2 linked regions of the Drosophila melanogaster genome follow. The protein of the gene in region 1 interacts with the protein of each later gene in a pairwise test. Each region holds a gene or a part of one and is shown in the gene's direction. Other genes may lie near its edges.

What was found.
Region 2: the proteins of CG10916 (region 1) and CG10973 interact in a two-hybrid assay, tested with the Drosophila melanogaster proteins (one large-scale study listed by BioGRID).

The regions. Positions count from the first base shown.
Region 1 is NT_033778.4:18,171,892-18,176,278, forward strand, and holds CG10916 (uncharacterized protein), read left to right. Parts: upstream 1-1,777; 5' UTR 1,778-1,918; coding exon 1,919-2,710; 3' UTR 2,711-3,834; downstream 3,835-4,387. Other genes in the region: CG5726 (uncharacterized protein), read right to left, coding at 4,189-4,387.
Region 2 is NT_037436.4:12,752,739-12,756,676, reverse strand, and holds CG10973 (uncharacterized protein), read left to right. Parts: upstream 1-1,902; 5' UTR 1,903-1,958; coding exon 1,959-2,000; intron 2,001-2,057; coding exon 2,058-2,135; intron 2,136-2,460; coding exon 2,461-3,001; intron 3,002-3,063; coding exon 3,064-3,272; intron 3,273-3,274; exon of another isoform or gene 3,275-3,332; coding exon 3,333-3,383; 3' UTR 3,384-3,438; downstream 3,439-3,938. Other genes in the region: Vps13D (vacuolar protein sorting 13D), read right to left, coding at 1-272, 583-1,373, 1,435-1,531; CG10984 (uncharacterized protein), read right to left, coding at 3,520-3,693, 3,755-3,938.

The DNA.
Region 1 (4,387 bases):
GTTTAATAGTGAAATGGCCATTGTACATACATACATATATCTATGGCAAAGCACAATAAACAATGATAATGACAAGGCTATTCAACCGTTTATTTTTTGTTAGAAACAGCTGATTGCCGTTTTGTATTTGTTTATATAATAAAGCTTTGTTGACGTACGCAAAGCACAGCTGAAAAGCAACAAATGGCATAATCTCGTACGCATTTTTTGGCGTTTATTTATAGGCGGCAAACAAAGAGCGCAGTTAATGCGTCAGTGTGTGTGCCAAACATAGATATGTACTATGTACTTGCGTACATATGTATGTATTGTTTGTATTTTGGCAAACCAAAACAAACAGAAAATTTGCATATTATGCGCACATTAACTTGTTTCCATTGGAGTGGCGGCAAGTTTGGGAAACATAATTTGAGCCATTGAGAAACCGCACTAGCTGTAAATCAGCTGAATATCCATTTGTAGTTGTATGTTGAACTTAGCAATTAAAAGTGAAAGGATACGGGTGAACGCAGAAAAAGAAACGGGTATCTGGTCCTTGGCACTTACAGTTCATGCAGCCTTTTGTGCTCCTCTTCTCCGTCTGGTGTTTGTCCCTATATCTTTTCGGATTTATTGCGAATTGTACATAATTTGTTTAGCTTTTCCCGTAAAATTGTTTTCCGTGTCCCGAAGCCACGTACCGCGCGTCGTTGCCAGATCGGTTGAGTATCGTAAGTACCTGGTGCCACTTATCGATAGCTAATTTTAAATATTTATAAATTCTTGTGTTAAAAATGACCTGAACAGTATTTGAAACTATTATTGAGCACAGGTGAACCTTTTATTAGTTTTTAGCTATAAAATCCAAATTTATTATATATATACATTACATATTTGACTTCCTGATTATGAAATACATTTGTTTAACAACTGGCATACACTTTAATTAGTCTATTTAGTAAAAATCTATAACAAAATAAAACAAAATTGTTCTGAAACCTTGAGACCTAAATATTAGCAAAAAGTTTGAAATTAAATGTTATAAGCGTTTGAGATCCATGTAAACTTACGAAATATAAAAATAACAGTATTTCTGGCACTACTTAAAGTCCATCTCTATAAAGCTCGTATCCGTTAATTTTAAAATAAAACAAGTGCGCCATACGTATTTAAAGCTCAGTGTGTAAAGGGATTCAGATATGGATGGTAACAGCAAAGAAATGGAAAATTGAGAAGCACCCACAAATGACCCATCGCCATACCGGATTCGGAAACTAATTCCCGAACAGACAATGGGCCACAGGTGCATTCACGACGAACTTGTTCGCAGAAGTACCCGGTTAAAAGCCTGTCCTCTGACTCACAAGAATAACAGGGATTTTCCCGAGCACCCTCTGCTCATGAATCTGGACAGAGACAGCTTATCGGATGCCCACCTGCCGCCCGAGGAAGCAGTGCAGTGCGGCACTAACGAGGACGGACATCATGCGTCTGGGCAAGGTACATTCTTCCCATAAGGTCATGTACATCCCGCAGCACGGTCAAGAGGTTAACGTTGGCACCAACGAAGTACTGGTGCAGGTTTGAAACGCTACTTTAATACAAAGTAAAGATCCAGTAGATAACCACAAAATGATAGCACAGTACATTATCTTAGCCAAAATAGAGTTATGATTAAGACGCTAATATAAATGTTACTTAATATAAATGTTACTTACTTAATGCTATAAGATATTTAAAGGATTATTTTCAATCAAGATTCAAACTTATTAAAATAACAGTATTTCTAGTATATTTGGTATTCTCCAGAGGTCATCTCTAATAAAGCAGGAAAGTTGATACGAATCGTTTCGTTTTCCGCTCATTGTTGTGAAATAAATTTGGAACAGAAGAATAGAGCCACACATATTCAAAGCTCAGTATCCATAGGGACGTAGTTATGGAGAGTAATAGTAGTGAAATGGAAGGTAACGGCGGAAAAATCGCAGAAACTGCACCCACAAATGACTCATCACCTTCACTGAACATTTTATGTGCAATTTGCAACGAGTTTTTCCGGGCCAACGACATAATTTTCTCAACTTCACGGTGCGGTCATGTATTCCACAAGGACTGCCTCACCCGATGGCTGAATAGGTCCAGGACCTGCCCCCAATGCAGAGACCCATGCGACCGACGACGCGTGCACCGATTGTACCTAAACTTCGCCGAGGCCCCGGAGTTCGATGACACCGAATTGCCCAAGGTGGCCATGGATTGGGTGCCCATTGATCTGGACAGAGACAGCTTACCGGATGCCCACCTGCCGCCCGAGGGAGCTGTGCAGTGTGGCACCAACGAAGACGGACTGCCCACGTATGTGGCCAGAGGATATTACCACGACGATCTCCTGCCTGCTCCTTATGTACCGGAAAAGAAGGCTGCCTTCGGTTCGCACAGCTGTAGCGCCCGAACTCTGACCGATGATGTCGAGATCCTGGTGCTCAACGACTGTGACTACAAGTGGGTGCCCGGACAGCATGGAACATATCCGCGGGATGCTCTGAACACGGGCTACTCCGAGCTGGGTGAGGTCACCTACACGGGTCGTGGTCTTTACCAGGGTATCCTGCGTCTGGGCAAGGTGCATCCTTCCCACAAGGTCATGTACATCCCGCATCATGGTCAAGAGGTGAGCGTAAACACCTACGAAGTCCTGGTGGTCACCCCACGTGACCAGGCAGATCGATGATGCTGCTGATATCTTAAATCTCTTATGCCTTATTGTATGAATCTGTGTTATAAATACATATGTACGTCTTATTCTATTTTTGAAAAAAATCGGATCTATTATTTCTGTACTTGTTTTAAATTCGCTTATCAGTAAGCCAAGATTTGTCCCCAATTTCTTTAATCAAGCGAAAAATTGATAACTTTGTTTTGACTGCCAGCAAATTATGTACAAATAAAAGTCCCCATATACATATGTATAAGTTAGTCTGCTATTTGCTGCCCTCAAGTATGCAATTCTTTATAATAGTTTGGAAAGTGAAGATGTTTGTGACTAGACACGGGTTTAAAAATATTTTGACCTTGACTTGATCAATGCCTACGATAAACGGAAATCTTGGTTTTTTGTATATTGTATCTAAAACGGACCAACTGTCTTCAAAATGGCAAGATTAATAAAAACTGCGGTCTTAAAGCTTTCTTACTATCGCTTTTGTAAAGTATGCACAACCGAGAGTTGCCCACAGAAGTTCTGGAAAGTGGAAACGCAGAAGACGAGGGGAGTCACCCACAAGGATTCGGAAAATACATTCATCCAATCAGGTGATGTAAATACGGAGGTAAGACTATGACATTCTGCTGGTGATTTCAAAAGTTTTCAAAAGAATTTGTTTTAATGTTTGATTAATGATAATGCAATTTTTTTGTTTTATTAAAAATGTGTTAGACGCTATTTATATGCTGATTAGTGTTTTGAACCTACGCATGTTGCGAACATATTGATTATACCTAAACAAAGAGGTTTAAGTATCTATATAAGACTACTCGTATAACTCTACAATTCATGTTTTTCTCTGCACTCCGGCTTGGCTTTGTTGTTCCAACAGAGGGCCTCACAAAATTTGCTTTAAAAATACGTAAGCTTGTATAATTCGTTTAATAAATCGGCTGAACCTGCACTATAACATGACATTTAATATATAAGTATATATTTAGCTAAAAATACAAATTTTTATATGTTCAACATGCTTTTAACATTTCACCAACAGGCGTTTTACTTTTCAATAGAAATAGGATTATTTTTGTTTTTTCATTGACTTTGTACTTAGTTTCTAAGCAATTTGTATATATAAATATAAAAATGAGTGTGTGTGACTGTATTTTGTGTGGGAGTGTTTATGTGGCGTGGTTGTGTGGGACTACACAAGACATTCATATATATATAATTGGTATTTACAAATTTAGTGGCTCCAATGTGTAATGCATGCATGCTTAATATTCTTTAAGCCTGGATTTGAGATGGATTTGTTTTGTGATTGGTCTAAATTGTTTTGTATTGGTTTAACATTTGAGCTCAGTTGAAGACAAAATAATGTGAAAACAGTCTACGTGGATATACACATCCATTAGGAAACATATACGAAGGCGAAACAAATAACTTCTAAACGGACTTCAAAAACAATTTTCGTACATGTGGATGACTTCGTAAAGTGTATAAACTCATTTCTGGGCCGACAAATAGTTCATGTACTGAGTGGTCTGCTGGGCATTCCGCACCAGCTCGCTTTCCTCCTTTCCGGATGGTGGTTGGCCCTTATCCGCCTGCCCCTGCCAGTTCTCCTCGTTCTGCGGCTGATGGATGTCTGGCTGGGAGCGGCGTGTGAAATGGCGGTGCCGCTGGTGCTGATGCTGATGTGGA
Region 2 (3,938 bases), on another chromosome or scaffold:
TAGGCTTTAAACTCCTTATCTGCAGCGGATAGATTTTCGTTGGGATTTAATATAATTGATTTGTAGAGCAGCATGTAACGAAGATTTTCCTTGAGCATTAACCACTTTTCCTCATTTTTCTTAAAGTCAAATCCATGGCATATGGTGGCGTATTTCCACCATGCGATTGGATTACTTTCTACGGTGCATGTGGGTCGCTTTAGCCTGTATTGTCGAACTTCCTTAACCTGACGGATTTCTGACAGCTTATCTAACATTTGCAGTCGCTGGACCTGGAAATATTAAAATAATTTATTAAAACAAATAATAAGCATATCAAATATGGTGATAACAACTGCGTCATGGGAAGTACAACTGTGTTTATTGGGGTACAAGTTCATTTTGGGGCTTGGTTAGATAGAAATAAGCAAATTTGTTGGTGATTGATATTGAACCAATATTATTCATTCACGAATAAAATGTATTGTTTGATAATCGCTTAAAAAGCAATCGAAATATGTACCTAATTCTGATGAACTTTGGACCTCAGTAAATTACGTCTCATTTAAGTGTTATTTGTGGCTTCAAGTTGGGCTTAGTTACCTTAGATATGTCTATGACCACCTCGGGAACCAGGAGTTCACAGGAAACCCTGGGTTTGTCTTTGGTACGTATCACCTGCTGGCATTTATCGCGCTTCCACCTGGCCGTTGCACAAATGGGCTTGATGATGAAATTGTGGGACCTCAGTTCGCAGGTGGAGTGCATTTTTTCGAGAATCTCCTGGTTAGAGTACGACTGACATTTGATGTCCTCGTGCAACAAATCCCAGTAGACCGAGAGCTCTTTGAGCTCCACCAGCTTGTAGTTCATTTCGTTGTTGTTCATTTTGTAGGACCCATTGGTCCAATCACAGTCGCAGCTCTGGGCGGTCAGAGATCCAATCTTGATGCCCGTGCATATCTTGCTCTTGCCGGTGTCCACGATGTCCTCGAACCGAAAGTGCACATCGGATATCTTGAGTTCAATGTTGTCAATGATGTTGGTGGCCATGTTGGTGCCATACTTCAGCCAGTTATTGTAGGATGAGAAGTAGTAAGACTCCATTTGTTTGCCCTTTTCGGAACGCCAGCCTGCTTCTGCGGTGTCCAGCACGGCCAGCTTATACTCCAAATCCTGCAACTTCTCCTTCTCGTAGTCCCAGTTGTCCAGGTTCTTCGGACAGATGATGCAGAACAGGCCCTCGATGGAGATGCACCATGGCGATGTCCTGAACTGGCGGACCGGAATCTGGAGTTTGATTTTACGGATACTGCCGGCGGTGACTTCGACCGGCAAATTGAACGAGCGGAGGGCATCTTTGCGTATGGGTATGTTCTCGAGCTCAACTTCGCCTGCGGGAAAATATATTGTTTATGCGATGCGGAATAAAGATAAACAATTATATCACAGTACCCGAGAGCAGTGCCACCGACAATTGGGCGGAATTCAAGTTCTCCAGATACTTTCCCAGATACGTGTTCAGCACCCACGTTATGAGGTCTCGCAACATGCTTGTTTATTAACCACTGACGCTAATCCTATTAAATATTTGTTTTTAATTCATGCCCTAAAACCACAACTATAAACATATGATTGGGGACTATCTACACCGCATAAATATTGCCGAGTCACAAATGGAACAAGTGGAATCGGAACAGGTTGTGGGATTGGATTGTAGTTGAATAAACAAGTGGTTTCTTTGGTTTATTTATTTCATAAATAATTTAAATGGGAAGTAGTTAATAAGATAATATATATCAGTCCTAATTTCGGGTGTTGCTTAAGTTTGAAATATATGTAAATGATGTTTTGCCGATGTAGCTATCAATCAGATTGGTATCGGATATCGGTCTTGTGCGATATTCTTGAAATTCCATCACTAATTATTGTTAAAAACAAAAATTTTATTGTGATTGCTACAGAGTCTATTTCCCAAAATGACCGATCCAAACGTGCCAAGAGGAGCCCTAAGCTTGCAGGCAAGTAATTTGGGTAGAGTATCTAGTGAACTTCAATAAAATGTATATTTTTCTTAGAATGTTCTGAAATATACGGTGCAACACCACGATCCAAATCCAGAAGCAGCCCCAAAGTTGGAAACTCCCGATCCTGAGGTATGTAAACAGCTCAAATTGAGAGAATTTTACAAATATTTAGAATAGTTATTGTGTTAGGCTTTAAAACACCTCAAGTAGTTATACTTTCTGAATAATTCACAAGTGTGTCCTAAGCAGTGAGTCAATCGAATCATCTAGAACCTATGTATTTGGCCATGTGCTCCTCCAAATGGAACTTCTATTGAAAGCCAAATTTGTTTGGAAATTACTTTTCTGGCACTTTGTACAGTAGTATGAAAGCTCTTTTTGATATAACAAAGTATAACATTAGTTATTGACTAGTTACTTGGAGCTACAATATATAAAATATTTTATTTTTCAGAGAGCTCAGTTTTTGGCAAATGCCCTAAATGCCATGACAGTGGATGCTGCAGCGGCCCTGAAAGCAGCTTTGGTGATCTTGAACAGCGAAGAATCCAGCACGGACGACCAAATCGAGAGTCTGGATGTCATAAGGAGCCACATCGATGACATCGACAATGCCATAACGCTGGTGAAGCTAGGAGGAACTGCAACTCTACTCCGCTACATAACACATTCGGATAGCGAAGTGCGAGAATCGGCACTCAATACTGTCGCTGAAGTGGCCCAGAATAATGTATTTTGTCAGAACGCCCTCATAAACGATAAGTTTTTGCCTGCACTTGCAAAGAACTTGAGCCATTCGAATCCGAATACCGTGCGGTGCTCCTTGTATGCGATATCATCGCTGATAAGGAACTTTCAGCCTGGATACGACGAGTTTAAGCGCATAAAGGGGATCAGGTCCTTGATACCCTGTCTGAAATCCACAAATACAAATGTCTACGTGAAGACTGCTTTTCTAATTGCATCGTTAACTTCAATCGAGAAGTCTGTCAGAGGTAAATTGAAGTAGTAATTATAACCCAGTGTTTGAAATCCTAATTATTTGTATTCCCATCAGATGATTTTGTGAAGGAAGAAGTGTTTCCTGTGCTAGTGGAAAACCTTAAGCCCGTTGATGACTTTGATATCAAACAAGAAACTACGCTTTTTGCACTTTCATCTCTTTCGCGGGAATCGGAGTTAAAACTCTCTACGGAAAAACGAGAGGAAATCCTATCGAAGCTTCAACAAATTATTTCCAAAAACAAACAGTCGGAAACGTGTGAAGTAAGATTATTTTATATATCTATTGTTATGTATCAAATTTCATACCTACTTTATTTACAGGACATGGTTAATTATGCAAGAAATATTTTTGACAACTTAAGTGCACATTAAAAACAAATCGATTTTTCACGTAAATGTTAAGTTAAATAAAATGGGCTTTGAAAGTATCTCTAGTTCACAAATCTTTCGAAGAAACACATTCCTGTGTTTATAATCTTGTAAAAATTTATTAATTTCAATGCGTCAGTTATGTTGGCAATGTGTCAAAGTCGTCACCAACTGAAACGATCGGAACGTGCTCCAAATTAACTTCAATCGGGTTGTCACATAGCCTATTTCGTTTTGCAAATATATTCCAATCCATCACCTGCACGGCGTGCAGACTTTCCGCCTCGTTATGATGCCGCAACACCATGGACTCCTTCAAAGGTAACAACAATTAAGATTTACAACGAAAAATATTTTGTTTAGGGTCAGCATACCTTAATTTTCTCCCACTTGTCATCAACATCTTGCAGCCAGCTGAGGAGCAAACGTCCATTAAAGCGGCAACGAGCACTCTTTTCCTTTTCATCCTGCTCCGGTGTGATCATGTTGTAGACCTCGTCGTCCTTCAAATACGTGCAAACGGAATAGGGCGCCGGCTGTCCAGATATGCTCCTGGCC